Linked DNA regions of Pelodiscus sinensis. Each later gene encodes a partner of the first gene's protein in a complex. Links are inferred from orthologs where the notes say so. Each region holds a gene or a part of one and is shown in the gene's direction. Other genes may lie near its edges.

What was found. The genes of interacting proteins can lie anywhere in the genome.
Region 2: TTF2 (region 1) and PPP1R8 share a complex: the UniProt entries of both Homo sapiens proteins name them as parts of the spliceosome. The link is inferred for Pelodiscus sinensis from reciprocal best matches to the Homo sapiens genes TTF2 and PPP1R8.
Region 3: TTF2 (region 1) and AKAP17A share a complex: the UniProt entries of both Homo sapiens proteins name them as parts of the spliceosome. The link is inferred for Pelodiscus sinensis from reciprocal best matches to the Homo sapiens genes TTF2 and AKAP17A.

What each region holds. Positions count from the first base shown.
Region 1 is NC_134711.1:149,418,053-149,425,665, reverse strand, and holds the start of TTF2 (transcription termination factor 2), read left to right. Parts: upstream 1-4,382; 5' UTR 4,383-4,397; coding exon 4,398-4,491; coding exon of another isoform or gene 4,492-4,510; intron 4,511-4,658; coding exon 4,659-4,770; intron 4,771-7,613. UniProt on the Homo sapiens protein: DsDNA-dependent ATPase which acts as a transcription termination factor by coupling ATP hydrolysis with removal of RNA polymerase II from the DNA template. May contribute to mitotic transcription repression. May also be involved in pre-mRNA splicing.
Region 2 is NC_134735.1:22,793,489-22,800,758, forward strand, and holds the start of PPP1R8 (nuclear inhibitor of protein phosphatase 1), read left to right. Parts: upstream 1-4,160; 5' UTR 4,161-4,183; coding exon 4,184-4,314; intron 4,315-7,270. UniProt on the Homo sapiens protein: Inhibitor subunit of the major nuclear protein phosphatase-1 (PP-1). It has RNA-binding activity but does not cleave RNA and may target PP-1 to RNA-associated substrates. May also be involved in pre-mRNA splicing.
Region 3 is NC_134711.1:223,232,449-223,239,669, reverse strand, and holds the start of AKAP17A (A-kinase anchor protein 17A), read left to right. Parts: upstream 1-4,111; 5' UTR 4,112-4,219; exon of another isoform or gene 4,220-4,280; intron 4,281-4,348; exon of another isoform or gene 4,349-4,552; intron 4,553-5,120; 5' UTR 5,121-5,600; coding exon 5,601-6,362; intron 6,363-7,221. UniProt on the Homo sapiens protein: Splice factor regulating alternative splice site selection for certain mRNA precursors. Mediates regulation of pre-mRNA splicing in a PKA-dependent manner.

The sequences.
Region 1 (7,613 bases):
CCCCTCTCTCACCCACGTTCCCACACACTGCAATCAACTGTTTTGCGACATGCCAGAAACAGGCAGGGAGGTAAGAGTGAGTGTATGGCATGCCCAGGGGAGGGGGCACAATGGGAGAGGATGGGAAGGGAGGGGTGGAGTCTTGGGGGAATGGATGGAGTCAGGGAAGAGTCTGGGGCAGAGCCGGGGATCAAGCACCATCCCTCCACAGCACATTGGAAAGTCAGTGCTTGCGTCAGTGTAGACAAGACCTCAATGAATTTGAATTCTTGAAGTCCATTTCTCAGTGGAGAAATTGCATCTACATTACATAAACCAACATCACAATTGGTACTAAATGGTCCACACTCTAGGAATCTTATCATAGGGCACATCTACATAGTACACTAAAACCCAGCTAAGACTCAGGTTGAAGCCCTCTTCAGTCCATGTAGAAATTAGTCTCACTGAGGCCAGTAACTCCTCTTGATGCAGGCCTGCAGACCCTGCTTGGAGTGGGGTGGGGTGGACCAGGTCACAGGTCCGGCTGTAATGCAAGGTCAGAGCCCAGAAATTTTGCAATGTGGACAAAGCTTTAGTCTAGAATCTAGACTCTAGATCATCAGATTCAGATCTGGAGAGTCTGCCAGTATTATCTCACAGTCTCCTCGGGATGTGCTCCGTTGTTCTTCAGTTCCAAAACTTGTCACTTACTTCCCAGGAACTGCAAACAATCTTCTGATTTAAAATATTTAGGATTGTCAAGAGGTAAAGTATAAAATAAACAGCCCTATGCGGACCCTAGAGGTTGAGCTCAGTGAGATTACCTCATGGTAAAACTGAAATGCCTGGTTTTCACTGTTTTTACCTCAGGATAGCTCACACGTGTTATTTACACATCTCTTGGCAGTGAAAACATGGCCTGGGTCACATTTGAGGCAGTAGTAAGGAATAACATACAGGAAGGCCTGCTGCTGCTGTTCATACTGTACCTTATCTGTGCAAAGGTTCTCAGTCTGGCACCTCAGCAGTATGAAATCTACTTTAAAATGGCCACAAATTATACTACATTTATTTTATCCACTCTCATTGCTTGATCCTATTGCCAGCAGCATTCTGTTTGTGATTACTCCTGTTTCCTAATTTTAACTAAACCGATGGGCAGATCTACAGTACAAAATGTACATGTACTACCGTGGTTCAGCCAATCTTGTGGAGATGCTCTAAGCCAACAGGTGAGAAGTCTCCTGTCGTCTTAATAATCCACCTCTGCAAAACAAAATTCAATAAAGACAAGTGCACTACACTTTGGAAGGAAAAAATCAAATGCACAACTATAAAATGGGGAATAACTAGCTAGGCAGAAGTACTGCTGAAAAGGATCTAGGTAGATCGTAAACTGAATATGCATCAACAATGCGATGTAAGTGCAACATTCTGGGGTATATTAACAGGATTATTGTATGCAAACCATGTGGCTGTGTCTAGACTGGCAAGTTTTCCCAGAAAATCATCTGCTTTTCCAGAAAAACTTGCCAGCTGTCTACACTGGCCGCTTGAATTTCCGGAAAAGCACTGACGATCTCATGTAAAATCATCAGTGCTTTTCTGGAAAAACTATGCTGCTCCCGTTTGGACAAAAGACTTTTGTGCAAAAGGGCCAGTGTAGACAGCATAGTACTGTTTTCCGCAAAAAAGCCCCGATCGTGAAAAAGGCGATTGGGGCTTTTTTGCGGAAAAAAGCGTCTAGATTGGCCATGGACGCTTTTTGGCAAAAAGTGCTTTTGCGGAAAAGCATCCTGCCAATCTAGACGCGCTTTTCCGAAAATGCTTTTAACGGAAAACTTTTCCGTTAAAAGCATTTTCGGAAATTCATGCCAGTGTAGACATATCCCAAGAGTTAATTGTCACAGCACAGAGGAGGTGTGGTGCAAGGGGCACGGTGAGGGGCAGAGCCCTGGTATAGGCATTCCTCGGGGTGGGGGTCAGGTCATTGGGGTTTTTTTTTTTGCGGGGTGGGGAGAATATCCCAGCAGGTGTCTGCAGGTTGGGAGTGTTTCTAGGGAGGCTACTTGACAATTGTGAAACCTCAGCTGTGGAACTATGTCCAATTCTGGGTGTCACGCTTTAGGAAAGATGTGAATAAATTGGAGTAAGCCCAGAGGAGAGCAACAAAAGATTTAGAGAACCTGATCTATGAGCAGAACCCTACCAAATTCACAGTACATTTTGGCCAATTTCAGTTACACTGTTTTTAAAGCTTCAGGGGTTAGCCGAGTTAGTCTGTTAGGGTGTGTCTAAACTACATGGCTCCATCGATGGAGCCATGTAGATTAGGCTGATCGGCAAAGGGAAATGAAGCCGCGATTTAAATAATTGCGGTTTCATTTAAATTTAAATGGCTGCCGCGCTGAACCAACGAACAGCTGATCAGCTGTTTGTTGGCACAGCGTGCTAGTCTGGACGCTCCCGCACCGACCTGAAATCCCTTTATCGACCTCCCCGTTATGCCTCGTAGGATGAGGTTTACCGGGAGGTCGATAAAGGACTTTCATGTCAGCAGGGGAGCGTCCAGACTGCCTCGATCTGCCGACAAACAGCGGATCGGCAGAGCGGGACAGCCATTTAAATTTAAATGGAGCCGCGATTATTTAAATCGCGGCTTCATTTCCCTTTGCTGAACAAACAAATCTACACGGCTACATCGACGGAGCCATGTAGTTTAGACGTACCCTTACAGAAAAAAACAGGAAACAAATGGTCTGGTAGCACTTTATAGACTAACTTACATGTAGATGGTATCATGAGCTTTCGTGGGCACAACCCACTTCTTCAAATGACCGAAGTTATGATTAGGGGGTAAGAAAACACAAAATAAATAGGAGAAGGGAAGGGGGGGGGGGGGAGAAAGATGTTCTGCTGCCCACACTGCTACCTCTATGCATAAAGTATCAGGAGAAAGGGTGCTAAACCTGAGTAGATAAAGATCAAAGTTAGTGGATGGATAAGGCAGGAAGGATACCATTCAAAAGTAGAATAGTGATAGAGATGCAGCCCTATTAGCCTGCTGTAGCTGAAACAAAAGACAGAACTATGTAGTTAAACTATGTAAAGTGCTACATAGTGCTGTCTTTCATTCAAAAAGTAGTTAGCACCTTCATTGATAAAGGTTCCACCACTCCAAATCTTGGAATTACAATTCTTATGCAAATTCAATTCAATTAATTATGGACTTAATTAAGATTTGGAGTGGTGGAACCTTTATCAATGAAGGTGCTAACCCCTATCATACTCTGTCCTGAGCCTCTTACATCCCCAAACTCCTGCATCCCCACATCCTGTCTTCTGCCACAACATTCCTGCACCATCCACACATGGCAAATGTATATCCTGACCCATCATACTCACAACCTTCTTGCCCTGAGCCCTGCACACATCCAACACAAACTCCTGCACCCTCACATCCACAAGCCTGTGGCTTGCTCAGCACCCCAACCTTCCACCTGAGCCCAACACTCCCCAGCCTGGAGCCCCCTCCCCGAGCCAGCATCCCCTTCTCCTGCATCCAAGTTTCCTCCCAGAGCTTGCACTTCTCACCCCTTCCCACATCCAAATCCCTCATTCCCACCCCACAGCCTGCACCTCCTTTCTCAACCAAGTGAGAGCGTATAATGGCTGAGGATAGCAAGTGATGGAGCGATGGGGAACAGAGAGGATGGGGCCTCAAAAGAGTGGAGTCTTGGGGAAGGAATGTGATTTTAATGTATTGGTGGGTGGGTTGGTTGGTTTTTTTTTTTTTTTTGCTTGACAAACCTAGGCATAGGGGCAGCAGTTTAATAATCCCGCATAAGGCACCATAAATCCTAAGGACGGCCCTGGTTGTAAGGTTTTTATAGGGGGGGGGGGTCACGGTATTGCCACCGTTACTGCTGTGCTACGTTTGTTGCAGGACTGTCTGCAGAGCTGGGCAGCAGACAGGCGGGTTGCACAGTATGGGAGAGAGGCATCACTTTTTCTAGGGGCGCAAGGGCCAGCCCCTCCTCCTCAGAGCCGGGGGGCGGGGCAGGCAGTGCTGGGACAATGTCTGCGCCCCTCCCCCAGCTGGGGGCGGCTGCGGAGCCCCGGGCGCACGCGGGGCGCTGGCAGCGGCAGCAGAGCCCGCAGGTGGTGGGCGGGCCGGGCGCACCTCTCGCTTGTTCCCATTGGTTGCCTCCCGCCCAGTGACCTGCCCCCTGGGCCTGGCCGCCTCCTCCCAACCGTTGAGTGCGCGCGCGGACAGGGAGCGGGTCAGGAGCAAGGCCCTGTTGCGATTGGCCGGGCATCCTCCCGCCCCGATCTGATTGGTCACTGTGTCATCGAGGGGCGGGAACAGGAGAGGGGATTGGCTGGCTCCGAGAGCGGGGAAGGGGGCGGGGCCTATGGAACGCGTGGGTTGTTTCCTTCCCCCTTCCCCCCCCCCCCGGAGACTCTGCAGGGAAGGCGGCGGGGGCTCTGGGGCGCGGCATGGAGGCGGTGCGCTGCGCGGGGCACGGTGAGGGGCGGAGGGTCTGGGGGCGCCCCCGTTCTCTGCGCGCGGGGCCCTGGGGGGGGGCCCAGACGGGGGGGCGGGGTTGGGGGCCGCGCGCTGCGGGGGGCGAGGCTGGGACCAGTCTCACGAGGCTGCTTCTCTTCCCCGCCAGGGTCTCTCTGCTGCCTCAAGACGGGCGTTAAGGATGGGCCGAACAAAGGGAAAAGCTTCTACGTGTGCGGGGTCCAGGAGCAGGCGCGCTGCGGATTCACCCTCCCTGTACAGTAGGTTCAGGGGTGGGGATGTTCCTGATCTGCGCCTAGCGCCCCCCCCCCCCCCCCATGCCCAGTTCTGCCCTTCCCTGGGTGGCAGGCTTCAGATTGAAGCAACTCTGCTGCCTGTGTGTCTCTGGGCTCCTCTAGGCCATGCAGAAGATTGGAAAGAGGATATGCAAATTCTGCGGGAAGGGTCTGTCTAGACTGCATCCCTCTTTCGACAGAGGGATGTAAATTAGACACTTTGAAATGGCAAATGAAGCCGGGATTTGAATTTATTTCCCGTGCTCCGTTTGCACAGTTGCGTCATGGCGCTCTTTCGAAAAAGCGCTGTTTTGAAATTGCACCCACAGTCGCAGTTCTTTCGAAAATAGAAGCCTTTTTCAAAAGATCCTGTAAAGATCCTCAGGCTTACAGGATCTTTCGGAAAAGGCTTCTGTTTTTGAAAGAACTGCATCTAGACTGCAGTTTAAATTTCAAAATAGCACTTTTTTGAAAGAGCGCCATGACGTGATTATGCAAATGAAGCACGGGAAATTCAAATCCCAGCTTCATTTGCAATTTCAAAGTGTCTAATTTACATCCCTGTGTGTCTCTGGGTTTGTCTAGGCTACGCGGAAGATTCGAAAGAGAATACGCAAATTCTGCGATAATTTGCAAATCTTCTTCTGATCTCACTTTTGAAAGTGGAGCTTTCGAAAGTGAAAGTAGTCGAGACGTGGCTTTTTCAGCAGCCCCTCCCCCCCTCTTTGAAAAGCTGCTCTTCCTCAAAAATGAGGTTTATGCAGCTTTTTGAAAAAGGGGGGGTTGCCGAAAAAGCCGCATCCCGACTACTTTCGCTTTCGAATCTTCTGCGTAGTCTAGACATAGCATCTGTCTACAACCTCTGCTCTGCTGAGATGGAGTACAGGGGCAGGGGAACACCATGGCTTCAACATTCCTTACGCCTTCACCCCACACTCTGCACAGTTAGCAGGAGAATCCTGGAAGCAGCTCTTGGAGCAAGATGGGTGGGGGGGGAAGGACAGCTGCATCTCTGCTAATCAGCTGGGCTGGCTAGAGAGAAATGCTTGGTGGACTGGGTCCGGCCCCCTGCATCTGAGTTTGTCCACCTCTGCTTTAGAGAGTCTGCACAGTATTGTATTAGTTTATCTTCAGGTGGTATAAATCTTTCACCAGTTATCATTTGTATTATCATAGTTTCTAGAAGTTCTAGTTATAGACAAGGACCCCACCCTGTACCAAAAATGTCAGTCTAAAACTAAGCTTAGAAATATAGATAAGTGGGACAAAGACAAGGGCACAATGAGATAATACTTGTCATCATGATAGGCAGCAGCTCATCACACCAACTGATGTACAGTTATTAGATTTTCGTATATATGGTAAAAGATGTATAAGGATGTAAAATGTCAGCCTGCATCTCCAATTAACTACATACCTGCAACTCCGGTGTCCGTATACAACATATATACTTTTATGTGGGCTGCAAAACATTTGTGGATTGTTGATGTAGCTGTAGATCATCCTGCAGTTTACCCTGGGTATGTCTACGCAGCAGAGCAGAAGTCAAATTAAGTTACCCAACTTCAACTACGTCAATTGCGTAGCTGAAGTCAAAATAGCTTAATTCGGCTTTCTGTGCTTTCTTCACAGCAGGACGTCAAAGGAAGAACACTCTTCCTTCGACTTCCCTTACTCCTCGTGAAATGAGGGTTACAGGAGTCAGAATAAGAAGTCCTCCAGCTCGACATTATTTTGAAATAATGACTTGCTGTGTATACGCGCATTATGTTGTTTCGAAATAACGTCACTTAGTATTAGCTAGTAGTATCAATATCATACCACGAAGGTCACAGATTCAGTGACTTTCCTTGACTTTTGCAGTAGCCAATGTGCTTGCCTTAGGGACTACTTGGGCAATGATCAATCACATCAGCCACCGTTGGGGTAATCTCAGGTACACCCATCTACCGCACAGGAGGCGTTTGGGGAGGGTTGGGGTGTGGGTTGATGTTTACATGGTTGGGCTTAACTCTACTTGCTGCATCTGCCCATGAGCACCATCCTCACAGCTCCTGATGGTTGCGGTTCCCAGCCAGTAAGAGCTGCAGAACCAGGGCTTATGGCAGAGTGAAGGCAGCATGTGAAGCCTGGAGGTAACAGCTGGAGGTTGCTACTTCCTGGGAGTCACCTCAGCCCTGCCAAGCCCCTGCTCCTCAAGCATCTGCGATGCCTTCTGAGCTGTCTCCCTCAGCACCCTTGACATCCCCCAGGCCACGCACCCCCTCAGCTGCTCCTCCCCTCCTCAAGTTTTTTGTCAGAGTGTCAGCCGACGGTCAGGGCAGTGTGTGTGTGTACGTTTCCGAGAAAAGGTTTAACGTCCGTGTCTTTACTGCTAGGACCGGGGTCCCATCGCAGAGGGTGGCCAGCAGGCCAACGGACGCCCCGTTATATAGGAAGAGCTTATTACACCTTAGATTTTAGCTGCTAGAACACAGGGGTTCCTTTGCAGAGGGCAGCCTAGGAAAGGCTGAAAAGGTGCCCCAATGGATCTTGTCACCTGGGAGTGACACAGATCCAAACGCCCAAGCTCTCCCTATGTCTGTCCCTTTATGACCGGCTGAAGTTCTTTTAAATTGTGCTTGGTTCTATTACAGCAACTGAAGGAGTCAGGTTAAAACTTAAACAGTTACAGGTTTATTTGAGGAAGCTTATAAATCATATGGTTGCAATGGCTATTGTTCTGTTTCTTAACTACTAGCAAAATATAGATCTTAAAAATGGTTACAAAGAAGATAAAGATAGAAAAATAGAAATAATGGTACCAAGTAACAGCTTACTCTTTCTAT
Region 2 (7,270 bases), on another chromosome or scaffold:
ACTAGATAATATGACCACTTCACACTTTTAATGGTGGTTTTTAAATGTGTTTTCATTGAGACAGCCAGGCATGGCTGGAAACAGAGCCCCAGGGTTTACTGAACTTTCTTGCTGGTTTGCATTAGCCAGACTGAATTGTTTAGAAATGACTCTTGAAGCTCTACTACTAGTTAAAAATGTGGAACTTCTGCTAAAATAGGTAGAGTGTATTTTGTGAACTACAGTAATACCAGTTATGAAGAGATTATGAAATGTCCATAAGTAATAAGGAATTTGGCTTAGTACATGATTGGCAGTGTTAGAATGGCAGAGGTTATTGCTTAACAATGGAAGAGATCTCTGGTTCTACTTCTTGGATTGTAATAGGAGTAGATAGCACCTACCTGCCACCCCCATTCTTCATTGTGATTGAGCTGAAATGCGCTGATGGGAAAATAAGACTTTAGCTAAAAGTGCATCATGGGCAGCTAACTGCAGCATACAGACTCATTTTGTATTTAACCTTTATTCCATGTTTGTCTTAGTTAAAATACTAAACTAAATGTGAAAACTGCGGAGGGAATGTGTTTTCATAATTGCACAATTTTTTTGCACTATTGCACCATCATTCCATCCAATAACTGTCAATAAACATTTTTAAAAGTGTTTGATCAGTGTCTTTCTCCTACCGTTTGAAGTGTAGGCAAACTCCTTGTGCTAGAGAAAATGAAGTCACTAAAGCTGCAAAATATATTTCCTGGAGCTGACTTGCCTAGATAGGCTAGAAGGCTGTTTTCATTCTAACCATTCTTGCTTGTGGCATTTCCAGTGTTCATTTCTGTAGTGCAAGAACTTCCATGTGTGCAAAGTGAGCAGGAACTCACCTGCGCATGTGATCTGCATCCTGAAACTCTAATTACACTTTAGTTAAAAGTACACTGAATTTGGTCCCTTACTGAACATGGTTGGGAAGTCCTGCTCTGGGTAAGGGGAGTGGACCAGATGTCCTCTCCGGGTATCTTCCAGGCCTTTGATTGTATCATGTGCATTGAAAGACCTGCCTACCATCACAGTCCTGTAATGACTGTTTGGGGAGTTCATCCCACCCTGTCTGCTTTAAGGGGCAAGAGACCTCCATGTCAGTGCATGCTGCTCCTGGCACCGGCGGGCATAGCTCCTAAGAGCCACACCTTTGCCTCCTCCATGGACAGTGTGGCGTCTGCTGTTTTGACTGGAAAGTGCCTGCAGTGTTGTGCTGCCTGTGTTTCAAAGTGACTCCTGTGTGCCCTGTGTGGGGGATGTGCCATGGTTGTTGCAGCTTGAGAATAGACTAGAAAGCTGTGGCCTTTGCTGCTAAATGATCTGTGACCAAGCTTCCTCCTGCAGATGCTGTGCCCAGTTTCTGGTGCTTGACAGCTTTCCACCTCTGGGTTTGAATTCCCTGGTTTTGCTCTTTGGCCAAGCAGTTCTCACCAGCCTGTTGCCCTGTGGGTGTCTCCAGTGGGCACACCTGAGAGTCCTAGCCCACCCTCCTGCCCACAGTTCTAACACATGGAGCAGGGGCAGTTGGAAGGCTGATGGGACGGAGCTCAGATGTTACCCAATATCTCTCTCCTAGCACTGATGGTCTCACCCTTCTCTGCACCATTCCACCCTATTTACTTCCAGGCCCCCCTGGCCAATGGAAAGAGGCCTGCTCTGGAAGGGGCCGAAGTCCACCGCCCACCCGAGCGACTAGGCAGCTCCTTCTCGTGTTCCAGTTAGGGCAAGTTTAGCTGCAGTTCCATTGCAGTGATGTGTCCTGCTACCCGACCCCAGCGTGACCTTTGCCTCCTTTCCATTCTGTGCCAGGAGAATGGGTGGCTCCAGTTTTGCCTGTTTCAAACTTTCTAATAGTGCAGAGAACAGATTCTACAGTGCAAGCTGGGCATGGCCCAACCTCTGTCACCATCTTGGTAGCCATCTTGGAAAGACCCCTGCTGGTCCTGCTAGAGCCATCAGCTTGCCTGCACCAGGCTACAGCCCAGGTCTGTTCAAAGAGGAAGACCAGAATCTGAAAAAACCCTTCTTTATGTTCCACATTTCAGAAGAACTACACGGTGCTTTCTCCTCTCCAGGAGCAGTTAAAATGACGTGCCCGCACTGGCTCTTAATGCACACAACACGTGCTCTGCTTTCATACAGAGCTCTTGCAAAAGGAAGTTGCATTTAAGCAACATTAATTAAAAAGACAGCAGGCCCTGCTGCAGAAGGAAAATCGTGCTGAAGAAATGGGTTTTTGTTTCCATGCTTTTTCAATTTTATTTTTAATGAGTGTTTAAATGGTAGGGAATTTTTTATAAGACTCAAAGAACTAGATAAATTTAATGGAAGGCAGGTCCGTCAATGGCTAATAGTCAGGATGGGAACGGGTGGCCTAGTCTGCTTGCCAGAAGATGGTTGAGTGACAGGATGGATCATTTGATTCTATTTTCATTCCCTCTAGGGCACTGATCACGGTCAGAAGACAGGCTATTCTTAAGTCTCAACCCAAGACACCTGGGGAAAATTCTCTCAAAACCCGATCTGCCAATCAGTCACAGCAGAGGTCCACTCCATCCAATGGCCAATCTCTGATGCTTCAGAAGGTGGCAAACTATAAATACCACCAGCAGCCATGGAATACATTTGGCTGGTTATGCATTGGGGAGGGGCAGTTCTGTCCTGACCAACCCATGAAAGCTGGGGAGTACGAGATTTGAAGAGTCAACTCATCATGCAGAGCTGCAGCTGTTATAAGCATGTTGAACTCAGATTCATGGATTCCCGGGCCAGGCAGAACCATTATAACCATTCCATGTGAAATCTGCCCTCCCTCCATCCCCTTAGGCAGTAGGGTTTTTCCCAGAACCTGGATAAAAGCATATATTTTTAAATGAGTTACTAGAAACAGAGAAACCAGTAGACCCCTCTGTGGATACAAAATTTTTATCTGAATACACAAGTGAGCCACAGATGTGGATACTCAGATTATAAAGTGGGTATCCATGAATTTTCAGGGCTCTAGAAATCAGATAATTTCATGTGGAAAATAAGATCTCCCCTTTAAACGCTGCCCTAACAGTTTCTTTGATCAATGATCTCTACATTTTTATTTTATAAAAACAGACAGTGATCAGATGATTTTAGCAGTTTCTTTTCTGAGCCTAGGTGAGATTTACCAATGGGATAAGAAGGGGAGATACGCTTTCTTAAATGCAAACTCTTTTCTCAGTACTAACAGTTACGTACAAGAAAAGATTAAGGAAGGCTGGATTGCAAGTCCATAGTTTTCATCTTGACATGAAAACCTGATTTTGATGGTGTCTAAGTAAATCCCTGCTACCTGGTATTTGCCCTGGGTGGTCTTCCACAGGGAGAGAATCTAGAGAAAGAAACAGATGTGTGAGAAAGGTAAGGTAGGTGTGTGAAAAGAGCTTGCTGCTTTGAGTAGTGTCCCCATGAGTGCGGCATTTCAAAGTGTGCAAAGCCTGGACTCAGCTGACACCGGCTTTGTGTGGCATTTCAAAGTGGTAGCAGTGCAGGGAGCCTGGGATCAGATGGGGACTACCTACCTGACTCCGGGTTCTGTAGAAACGCCTCGCGCAAGGTCAGCTAAGGAGTCCCCAGCTGCCCCCAGGCTCCACGTGGCAATGCCACTTTGAAATACTGCAGTGGTGTTTCAAAGGGGAAGCACCGCACAGCTGCTCCTGGGCTCCATCTGGTGCTGCCCCTTTGAAACACCGCCACAGCTGGTCCCAAGACTCAGAAATGAGTTGCTCCCAGGGCTGTGTCTAGACTGCACCCCTTTTCCGTGACAGGGATGCAAATTAGACACATCGCAATTGCAAATGAAGCGGGGATTTAAATCCCCCTCCCCCGCTTCATTTGCATAAAAATGGCTGCTGCTTTATTTCCAGTGCGGAGCTTTGCGGGAAAAGCGCCCGGCTCGACGCGGATCTGTGGGAAGATAAACCCGTTTCCAGACGCTCCCTCAGTGCTTGGCTTGCTGAAAGACCCGCGTCTGCACGGGCGCTTTTCCGGAGGGGACCCAGCCCGGAGCCTCCCGGGAGCCGGGACAGGGCCGCTGCCCCCGGCGCAGCCTTTCCACACGCAGGGCGGGTGTTTGCTCGCCCCGCCCCCTGCCGCCAATCACTGTCACTGTGACGGGAGCGGCGCGCGGTGCATGCCGGGATCGCCCCCGACCGGTCCTCCTGTTTCCCAGCCTGCCCCGCGCCCTCTTGAATGGAGTAGCTACAAGATGGCGGCGAACGCGAACTCGGGTGGCGGCCTGTCGCTGTTCGACTGCCCGAGCTGGTGAGCGCGGCCGGGCCGCGGGGCGGGGGCGGGGCGGGGCGTCCCGCGGGCTCCGAGGCTCGAGCACGGGCGTGGGGCGCGGAGCCTGCTGAGGTGACACGGGGGGGGGGCTCCGGGCTCCGAGTTACCCGCGCGCGGAAGTTGGTGTCAGAGTCAGGCGCTCGGAAACTAGGGATTGTGCTGCGAGCCGGACCCGCGTGCGAGAGCGTGTGAGAGCGTGCGTGAGTGTGCACGTGTGTGCGTGAGAGCGTGCGTGAGTGTGCACGTGTGTGCGTGAGAGCGTGCGTGAGCGTGTGAGTGTGCACGTGTGTGCGCGTGAGAGCGTGCGTGAGTGTGCACGTGTGTGCGTGAGAGCGTGCGTGAGTGTGCACGTGTGTGCGTGAGTGTGCACGTGTGTGCGTGAGAGCGTGCGTGAGTGTGCACGTGTGTGCGTGAGTGTGCACGTGCGTGAGTGTGCGCATGAGAGCGTGCGTGAGTGTGCGCATGAGAGCGTGCGTGAGTGTGCGCATGAGAGCGTGCGTGAGTGTGCGCGTGAGAGCGTACGTGAGTGTGCACGTGTGCGCGTGAGAGCGTGCGTGAGCGTGTGAGTGTGCACGTGTGTGCGTGTGAGAGCGTGCATGAGCGTGCGAGTGTGCACGTGTGTGCGTGTGAGAGCGTGCGCGTGTGTGAGCGTGCGTGAGAGCGTGCGCGTGTGTGAGCGTGCGTGAGAGCGTGCGCGTGTGTGAGAGCGTGCGTGAGAGCGTGCGCGTGTGAGAGCGTGCGTGAGTGTGCGCGTGTGTGAGAGCGTGCGTGAGCGTGCGCGCGTGTGAGAGCGTGCGCGAGCGTGCGCGCGTGTGAGAGCGTGCGCGAGCGTGCGCGCGTGTGAGAGCGTGCGCGAGCGTGCGCGCGTGTGAGAGCGTGCGCGAGCGTGCGCGCGTGTGAGAGCGTGCGCGAGCGTGCGCGCGTGTGAGAGCGTGCGCGAGCGTGCGCGCAAATGTGCACGTGCGTGCGTGAGAGCGTGCGTGAGTGTGCACGTGTGCGTGTGTGAGAGCGTGCGTGAGTGTGCACGTGTGCGTGTGTGAGAGCGTGCGTGAGTGTGCACGTGTGCGTGTGAGAGCGTGCGCGTGTGTGCATGTGAGAGCGTGCGTGTGCGTGCGTGTGCGTGAGCGCGAGCGCGAGCGTGCGTGAGCGCGCGTGCGTGAGCGCGCGCGTGAGAGCGTGCGCGCGCGTGCGAGAGCGTGCGCGCGCGTGCGAGAGCGTGCGCGCGCGTGCGAGAGCGTGCGCGCGTGCGAGAGCGTGCGCGCGTGCGAGAGCGTGCGCGTGTGTGAGAGCGTGCGCGAGAGCGTGCGCGAGTGTGCGTGTGTGTGCGTGTGAGAGTGTGCGTGAGAGCGCGCGCCCGTGTGTGTGCGTGAGATTGTGCTGGCACGGCCACCTATCACTTATTACTATTGTTATTTCTCCCGCAATACGGCCCTTTTGAGTGGACAGTGTCAATCGAATTTATAGCTTATTGCTTTTTATGTTTCTCCCCTTGTATCACCCAATGCTGCATTTGCTGCACAACAGGGAAACCCTTGCACTGAATACACAGCTAGTAATTTACTTATGAGCTTTTCTAAGGTCCTCTTCATCACACTATCTGAGATCTTCACCTATATTAAGGCAAGATGATGTTAGTTCTCTACCTATAACAGGGGTTGGGAACCTTTTTTGGGTTGTTGGCTGCTGACCCACAGAAAGTCAATAAGGTACTGCACACAAGTGAGAAGCAAAAAACCAAATCCTCATTGACATGGCCCCCAGCTCAGGAGGAGAAAGACACCATGTTCCCCTCCCCACCAGAGTGTAGGGGGAGGGCCAGGCTAGTAGATTTTGTGTTCTCCAGCCCTATGCTGGTGCAGCAGGCAGTTGGAGCACCAGCTCAGGCTCCCTAGTGCTAGGGGATGGGGGGCTGCATCTGACCCCCAGGGCCTTAGGTTCCCCACCCCTGACTGATAAAATGGAGAACAGTGAAAAATGAGTAGTAGTCCTGTAGTACCTTAGAGGCAGTCCAAGGACTACTCATTTGTAAAGTTACAGATTAACAAGGCTACCCCTCTGAGATTTGTTTTCACAGTGCTTAGCATTTCTGCAAATCTCACCCCAAATGTCTTCAGTTAGGCACTCAGAAAATGAAAAACTCCAATTAGCAACCACTTGTGAAAAGCATCCAATTGGGACATCATGATACAGGCAAGTATAGAGTCCAATTCTCCAGGGTGTCATTCATCTCTTACCTATGAGGCCTGCAGTTCCCCGCCTCTTTTGCTACACACCTTTCCATTTGCAGTAAATAAGGTAGAGATCCTACAGAGAACAGTTTCAATCACTTCACCCTGATGCATTTCTTGAGCACTATCCATCATATGCGCTAAGTGAAGCATGATAAATCATATTAAAGGCTTAGAATGCATACACGCACAGGGGTTGAATTCAAGTTGTGCATGTAACCTTCATTCTGGTGCTTTAAACTCTTTAAGAGCTTGACTTGCAACTTTTGGGTCTTTTAAGGTAGGTGTTTTAATGTAAATTCCTGAAGCTTTTTAATGAAAAAAATTAGTGAGGTAGAATTGTATTGACCCTCATGTGGGTCATCAGCAGGAGTGGGACATGAAGGCCACAGACTTCTACAATTTGCTTGTCTGGTAACTATGGATATTAAAATGTATTTAATTAAAGTAACCACTGAAAATTTCAATGGTTATACGCGTGGAGGGGGGTCAGCTTTTAAGCTGGTTTCCCACGCGTACCAGCTCCTGCGTCCACCTTGCTCCTCACTGCTGCCTCTGTATCAGAGGCAGCAATATGGGAGGGGCAGGTGACTCCCTGGGAGCCAGTGTGTGCTGGGAGCCGGCTTAAAACACTTTCATGTCCCTACTGGGAAACAGTAATAATCTCTTATCTGTTATGTGAACCAGCCACTAGAGGGGAAAGAGAG
Region 3 (7,221 bases), about 74 Mb from region 1:
CGGGGCTTTTTTAGAAAAAAGACTACTGTGCTGTCTGCACTGGCCCTTTTCCGGAACAGTTTTTCCAGAAAAGGACTTTTGCCCGAACGGGAGCAGCATAGTTTTTCCGGAAAAACACTGACAATTTTACAGTAGATCGTCATTGCTTTTCCGGAAAAGCAAGCGGCCAGTGTAGAGAGCTCGCAGCTTATTCCAGAAAAGCGGCTGCTTTCCTGGAATAAGTGGCCCAGTGTAGACACAGCCAATGTGTGTGAAGTGATATTCCCTTTCACTACTTCCTTCACATTTGTGATTTTAGATTGCAGTATCGGTTATGGTAAGTTTTCAGAAATCAAGAGTCTGACCCCTAAAACTACAGGATTGGGGTTAAAATAACTTGTAAATAAACAAAATGTTTTAAAAAATCTTTTGATTTCTGGTTTTTGAGCCTTTTAGGGTATAATCAGTTCACATTCACAGACTTTTCTCTGCAAACATGAAAGCTTATATATATGGTAATTAAGTGATATATCACTTTAAGTATCAGAGGGGTAGCCGTGTTAGTCTGGATCTGCAAAAGTGACAAGGAGTCCTGTAGCACCTTATAGTCTAACAGATGTATTGCAGCATAAGCTTTCGTGGGCAAAGACCCACTTCTCAGATACATGTAGTGGAAATTTCCAGAGGCAGGTATAAATATGCAGGTAAGAATCAGGCTAGAGATAACGAGGTAAATTCAATCAGGGAGGATGAGGCCCACTTCTAGTAGCCGATATGGAGGTGTGAACACCAAGAAAGGAGAAACTGCTTTTGTAATTCGCTAGCCATTCACAGGCTTTGTTTAATCCTGAGCTGATGGTGTCAAATTTGCAAATGAACTGCAGCTCAGCAGTTTCTCTCTGAAGACTGGTCCTGAAGTTTTTTTTCTGCAGGATGGCTACCTTTAAATCTGCTATTGTGAGTCCAGGGAGATTGAAGTGTTCTCCTACAGGTTTTTTGTATATTGTAATTCCTAATATCTGATTTCTGTCCATTTATTCTTTTGCGTAGGGACTGTCCAATTTGGCCAATGTATATAGCAAAGGGGCATTGCTGGCACATGATGGCGTATATTACATTTGTCAAATTTGCAGATTACCCGCGTATGTTTATAACCCACAGGGACTTCTACAGCAGCCCTGGGCAGCAGTGCATAGACAGCAGACACAAGGCGACAGCCATCCTGCTGTCAGTGAGCCAGACGGACTGCGAGAGGGAGACACACTCATGCCCAGGCCCACCCCGTGCAGCCAGGCGTCACCCACCCTCCTCCGGGCGGGGAGAATGGAGAGCGTGCGCGGACACGCTGGAAGCTCGTCAGGCCCTCTCTGCAGCAGAGCTAATCCTGTTCTCATGGCGGGCGAGCAGAGACGCTTAGGGGAACTGATGCTCCTGGAGTATAAATCAATTTATATAAGACGCAGACATGTATACCCCATGGAGGGAGGGGACGCATGGTTTGTAAAAACATATATAACCCATGGGTTATATTTGCTAATTCATGGTAATTAGCAAACACCCAGACCTAAATATACCCACGTGGTTTCTTCATATTGATGACTGTTCTATAAAGAGTCAAGCCACAACAGAGGGCAACTACTTATTTTGTTGTTTTGTTTTGTTTACATGAGAAGTGAGATTCTCACACCATCACTTGTATCCAGAGCTGCAGCTTTAAGAAGAACACTAAATATGTGGAAAGAGTAGCCATAAAATAGTGAGAGTTGGTATTGCATACTGCACAGAACTCCACAGATACAGGACAGAAGAGTTTGAAAGAGTCACCAGTAAGCCAGTCTGTGTGCATGTGCCTGGAATGTTAGCTACTATTGTAGCACCGCTGTAAATAGTTCTTGTAATAAAGTCAGATTATTTTAGAAACATGGTGATCTCTCAAGTTATTTACATAGTATATGTAATGGGTAGTACTGATATTAAGCCCATCAAAGCAAGGATTTTTTTCCCGTGTTTGTACAGCATTCAGCACATTGGAGTGCTAATCCTTATTGGGTCCTGTGAGCATTACCACATTAAGCATTACTAGTAAATGATTTAGAATTAGGGTTGCCAGGTGTCCGGTTTTCTACCCGACAGTCTGGTTTTTGGCCCTCTGTCCGGTAAAAAAAATCCAGAAAACACTGGATATGTGCAATGTCCGGTATTTCCTGGTTTTCTGGCTGGACGCTGGACAGAAGCCTGGCGGGGGCAGGAGTGACTGGGAGGCGGGGCATGATCGGCACTGGGAGCCTCTGGTTGCATGTGAGGAGGAGGGGCAGCCCGGTCCATGCTCCTGCGCGCTGGTCAAGCGTGTGGTGGAGCCGCAGCCGGACTGACTCGTGTGTGACGGGAGCGCTCTAGGATCTGCACAGCCCGGGTCAGTCCTGCTCCACGCTGGCTGATTTGCTCCCCTGCCCCCTCCGCCAGCTCTGAGTCTCGCTGGCCAGTTCCTGCTCTGGATTTTCCCCGGCCAGCCCCGCTGCACTCCCTGAGAGCCCTGCTTCTGGCGGCCAGTTCTCCCCTCCTCCTGAGCTCCCCCGGTCAGTTCTGCCCTCGCTGGCCACCCCCCCAAATATCCCACAGCCAGCCCTGTTCCGCCCGACCCCCCCCACTGACCAGCCCTGCTTTCCGTCGGCCCCCCAATCTTCCCTAGCCAGCTCTGCTGCCCCCCCCCAGTTAGCTCTGTTTCCCGGCCCCCCCCACTCTCTTCCCGGCCATCACTGCTCCCCTCCCGGCCGGTCCTTTCTCGGTATTTTTTTTTTATGACTACCTGGTAACCCTAGCGGTGATCCTATGATTAACACAGGGTATGTCTACACAACAAAGTTAATTCGAACTAACGGACGTGTGGACACTCTGTGTGGACATGCTAGTTCGAATTAGCAAAACGCTAATTCGAACTAGTTTTTAAGTCTAGCTGCGCTAATTTGAATTAGCTTAGTTCGAATTAACTAATTCGAATTAACTATTTCGAACTAAGTTAGTTCGAATTAGCGCTGTAGTGCAGACATACCCCCAGAGATTTAAACTGAGAAGCAATTTGCTTTCCCCCTGCTCGATTGCCCTCCTGGCTCCCAACACCCCCAGCCGCCTGATCCCAGCCCCCATGTTTACCTGGTTCTGCAAGGCTCCCAGCACAAAATGGTCTCGGAGTCTTTTTTTTGTTTGTTCAAGAACTTTGGTCTCCCCCCCACCCCTTTTTTTCCTTCAACAGAATTTTTTCTCTGTTTTTTTTGGGGGGGGGGGGAGGGTGTTCAGTATTTTTGTTTCAACCATCTGGCGACCCTATTTAGAATAAATGTACTAATTTTCTCAGCCTCTCCATTCTCCATAAAAAGGTCCCCTCCACAACAACTGAACCTCAGTATTGCCAAAGCCAGGTATTAAAAACATCGCAAGATTTTTTTAAAAACAAGTAAAATGTGGGATCTTTTTCTTGGTTTCTCACATACTGCGTTTGTCTCGCCTTTTCAAGCTTTTCTCCACACCATTTTTTTTACATGGAAAGGTTTTATGTAACGGGGTTTAAACTGCAGCAAGGGAGGTTTAGGACGGACATTAGGAAAAAGTTAATGTCAAGGTGGTTAAACACTGGAATAAATTGCCCAGGGAGGTTGTGGAATCCCCGTCTCTGGAGATATTTAAGAGTAGGTTAGATAAATGTCTATCAGGGATGGTCTAGACAGTACTGGGTCCTGCCATGGGGGCAGGGGACTGGACTCGATGACCTCTCGAGGTCCCTTCCAGTCCTAGTATTCTGTGATTCTGTGAAAGTGCCAGCGCAATTGCACCATCACATTAGTTGAGGGAAGCAGCTCGACCTAGAGCCCTGCTCTGGGCCTCCAGAGCACTGGCTGGGACGCTGCAATAGGGCTTGCTGGGGGAGGGGAGAGGCTCAGGCTCGCGCGCCTGCCCCCTCCCCAGGGATCGGGCTCCGCCCCCGGGCCATGGAGGCTCCTCTGGCCCTGGCGACACCAAGCCGCACCCGCAGGGGGCGCGCGCCCGCATTCCGCGCCGGGCTGCCTTTTTTTTTTTTTCCTGGCACCATAGAGTAGGAGGACCGATCCAGCCTGGCCACTTCCACATCGCTCCGGGATCGTTGTTTCTCACCTTCCCTCCGCTTGAGCCAACCCGGAAGCGGAAGTTCGCCCGCAGGGGGTTGTGGGACGCCGGCGCGGAGGCCCGCTCCTCTGTTTTCTTTTGGGTCAGTCGCATTCGGCAGCGGCGGCGGCCTGGAGGGGGAAGGGGTCGCAGACCGTCGCGGGGTGAGTCAGACCAGCCCCTCCCCCCCCATGGTTTCCAGTAGGCCCGTCTCTGTTGAAGGTGGGGGCGGGGGCCGCAGAGCCCTCCCCGGGGGTAGCCGTGACCTTTGTCCCCGTAAACATTCGCAGCCCTCCTCACCCCCCTCGGCTCTATCCGAGCTGCCCGGGCCGGGGTGTGGGTGGCGGGGGAGGGGGCAGCGGAATCAGGTGGGAAGGAAGCGCCAGGTGCCGCCTGGGAAGGACGCCGCTCAAGGTTCTTCTAGAGCTTTTAAAACGTGTGTTTCTGGCCCTGTTGTGCAGAATTCGGGGGTGATGGGGGAGGGGGCCGGATCAGACAATGTTTATGTACTGGACGTAGGAAAAAAAAAGTTAAAGCTTCTGTATTGGTTAAAAGGCAAATTACCAACATCCTGTGTCTAAATATACACAATAAGTAGCTGTAAAACACGCGTACGGTTTTTCTTCTTTTGCCTGACTGCAAATTTCACTTTTTATAGATGGAAATACTTTCTTATGGGGAATGTATGTGGAAGGTGAATTTGTTGGTCATTTATTGATTTCTCATTTTCTCAGTTTATTTTATGACTGATAAGAGTTGTATTTGTGAATCACTGGCAAATCTATCTATTTGTGAAATTATCTTACAAGTAGAGCACATCTATAGATAACATTCACAAATGTGTTTTGAGTAAATCAAATACTATTTGGTGTTGCTGTTTCCCATTCTAGGAAAGGGCTCTCGCTGTCTTCAAGTTGCATCATGTATAATATATTTAGGTCTGAGCAAGAGTTATAAGGCTAATTTTTCCCTTTAAATGGAAATTTGTTTTTCTTTCTTTCCAGAATAAAGTCATCTATTTGAGAATATGGAGTTCTTCAAGATTGGACTGTTGCAGTATAACTGTTTCTGGTTAATACTTCAATTATTCTGCTCATGCTAGTACTAGGTGATAACATGAGTTTCACAATGCTTCCTCCTGAAGCATAACTAACGGTTGAGTCATTGAATATCAAGCCATATTTATTATTCATATCATCAGCTTTTCAATTTCTCTGTGGGCTTTATTCTTGTGGCTAATATTTAAGTCTTGGAACTGAATTCCTATATTGTGATGTTTAGAAAACAGTTTATAATGGCAATGCTGTTAAATTTCCTAATTAACTTTCATGCCAAGAATCAGTGGCTTTACTTGGTAATATTTAAGTCTCAGAAATGGTCAGTTATTTACAGATAGGGACTATGTTCCTCAATTAGTGTGGCCTATAAGTTCACTTAGTATACATTTTCCTTACTGTTTTTATACTTTTTTTTTTTTTTGTGCTATGGCTGCTGCTACCATAGTTCATGATACATCCGAAGCAGTAGAGCTCTGTTCTACATATGGTTTATATCTTAAACCCATTACAAAAATGACTATTAGTGTGGCCCTTCCTCAGCTGAAGCAACCAGGAAAATCCATTTCTAACTGGGAAGTGATGGAAAGACTAAAAGGAATGGTGCAAACGCATCAGTTTTCCACACTACGGATTTCCAAAAGTACCATGGACTTTATTCGTTTTGAAGGAGAGGTTGAAAACAAAAGTTTGGTTAAGTCCTTTCTTGCATGCCTTGATGGCAAAACAATAAAACTTAGTGGCTTCTCTGACATTTTAAAAGTTCGTGCTGCAGAATATAAAATTGACTTTCCTACTAGACATGACTGGGACTCTTTCTTCCGTGATGCAAAAGATATGAATGAAACTTTGCCAGGCGAGAGACCAGACACCATTCACTTAGAGGGGTTACCTTGCAAATGGTTTGCACTGAAGGACTCTGGCTCAGAAAAACCAAGTGAAGAAGTCCTTATAAAAGTATTTAATAAATTTGGGGAAATACGTAATGTGGACATACCCATGTTGGATCCATATAGAGAAGAAATGACTGGAAGAAATTTTCATACTTTCAGTTTTGGAGGACATTTGAATTTTGAAGCTTATGTTCAGTATCACGAGTATGTAGGTTTCATCAAGGCCATGAATGCTCTGCGAGGGATGAAACTGATGTACAAAGGTGATGATGGAAAAGCAGTGGCTTGCAATATAAAGGTGAGGAACTGTGGAATTATTTTGTAATAGATCTTAAAGGGGAAAAACTACTGTTGAAGGTCCTTTCCATATATGTTAACATCTAGACCCTCATTTTATATGGATATCAGGTCAGATTGATGAAGTGACAGCACAAAAATAGTCTCTTGCAATATCCATAGTGAAATTTCAGATATAAGGTGTGATAGTGAAGGAGTGGTAATATGCACAAAATAAAATTTTAATATTGACGTAGCCCTTAGGCTAGGAATAATACAGTGTGGGAGCTAAATATGTGAACCAAGTCTGTGTTCTAAATGCCACATTTAAATTCTTAAAAGTTGTGTTTTGTAAATGTTAACCCATCTCCTCTAGATCTTCCACATTCTTGATTAGAGGATGGCAAACTTCATTATCTAACCCATCAAGGAAGGCTGCTGGTAAACACAATTTCCTGGTGCATCTGGAGTGTCCTCAGGCCTGAAGTCCCTCAGCTCCCAATGGCTGCATTTCATCATTCCCCTCAAATGGGAACTGTAGAAAGCATTGTGGGCTGAGGGGTGTACTGGCCACTACTTCCCACCTCTCTTGTTGGCCAGGAATGGCAAATTGCAGACATTGGGAGCTGTAGGGTGCCAGCCACTGAAATATAGGATTGTCTTATGAATGGATCATGGCAGTTTTCCATTTTTATCTATTCATCTTGGGGGAGGAATCGTCTTATAAACGAGTGGGCTAATGAGTATATATAAATGGTATTCCTCTGATATATTTGTAGAAAGCAATCATATGCTTTCTACAAATTCATTAGGTCAGGCCAAACTAACTAAACTTTTTGAGTCTCCACTCATGCGGTGGGTTTTTCCATTCGTATAATCTT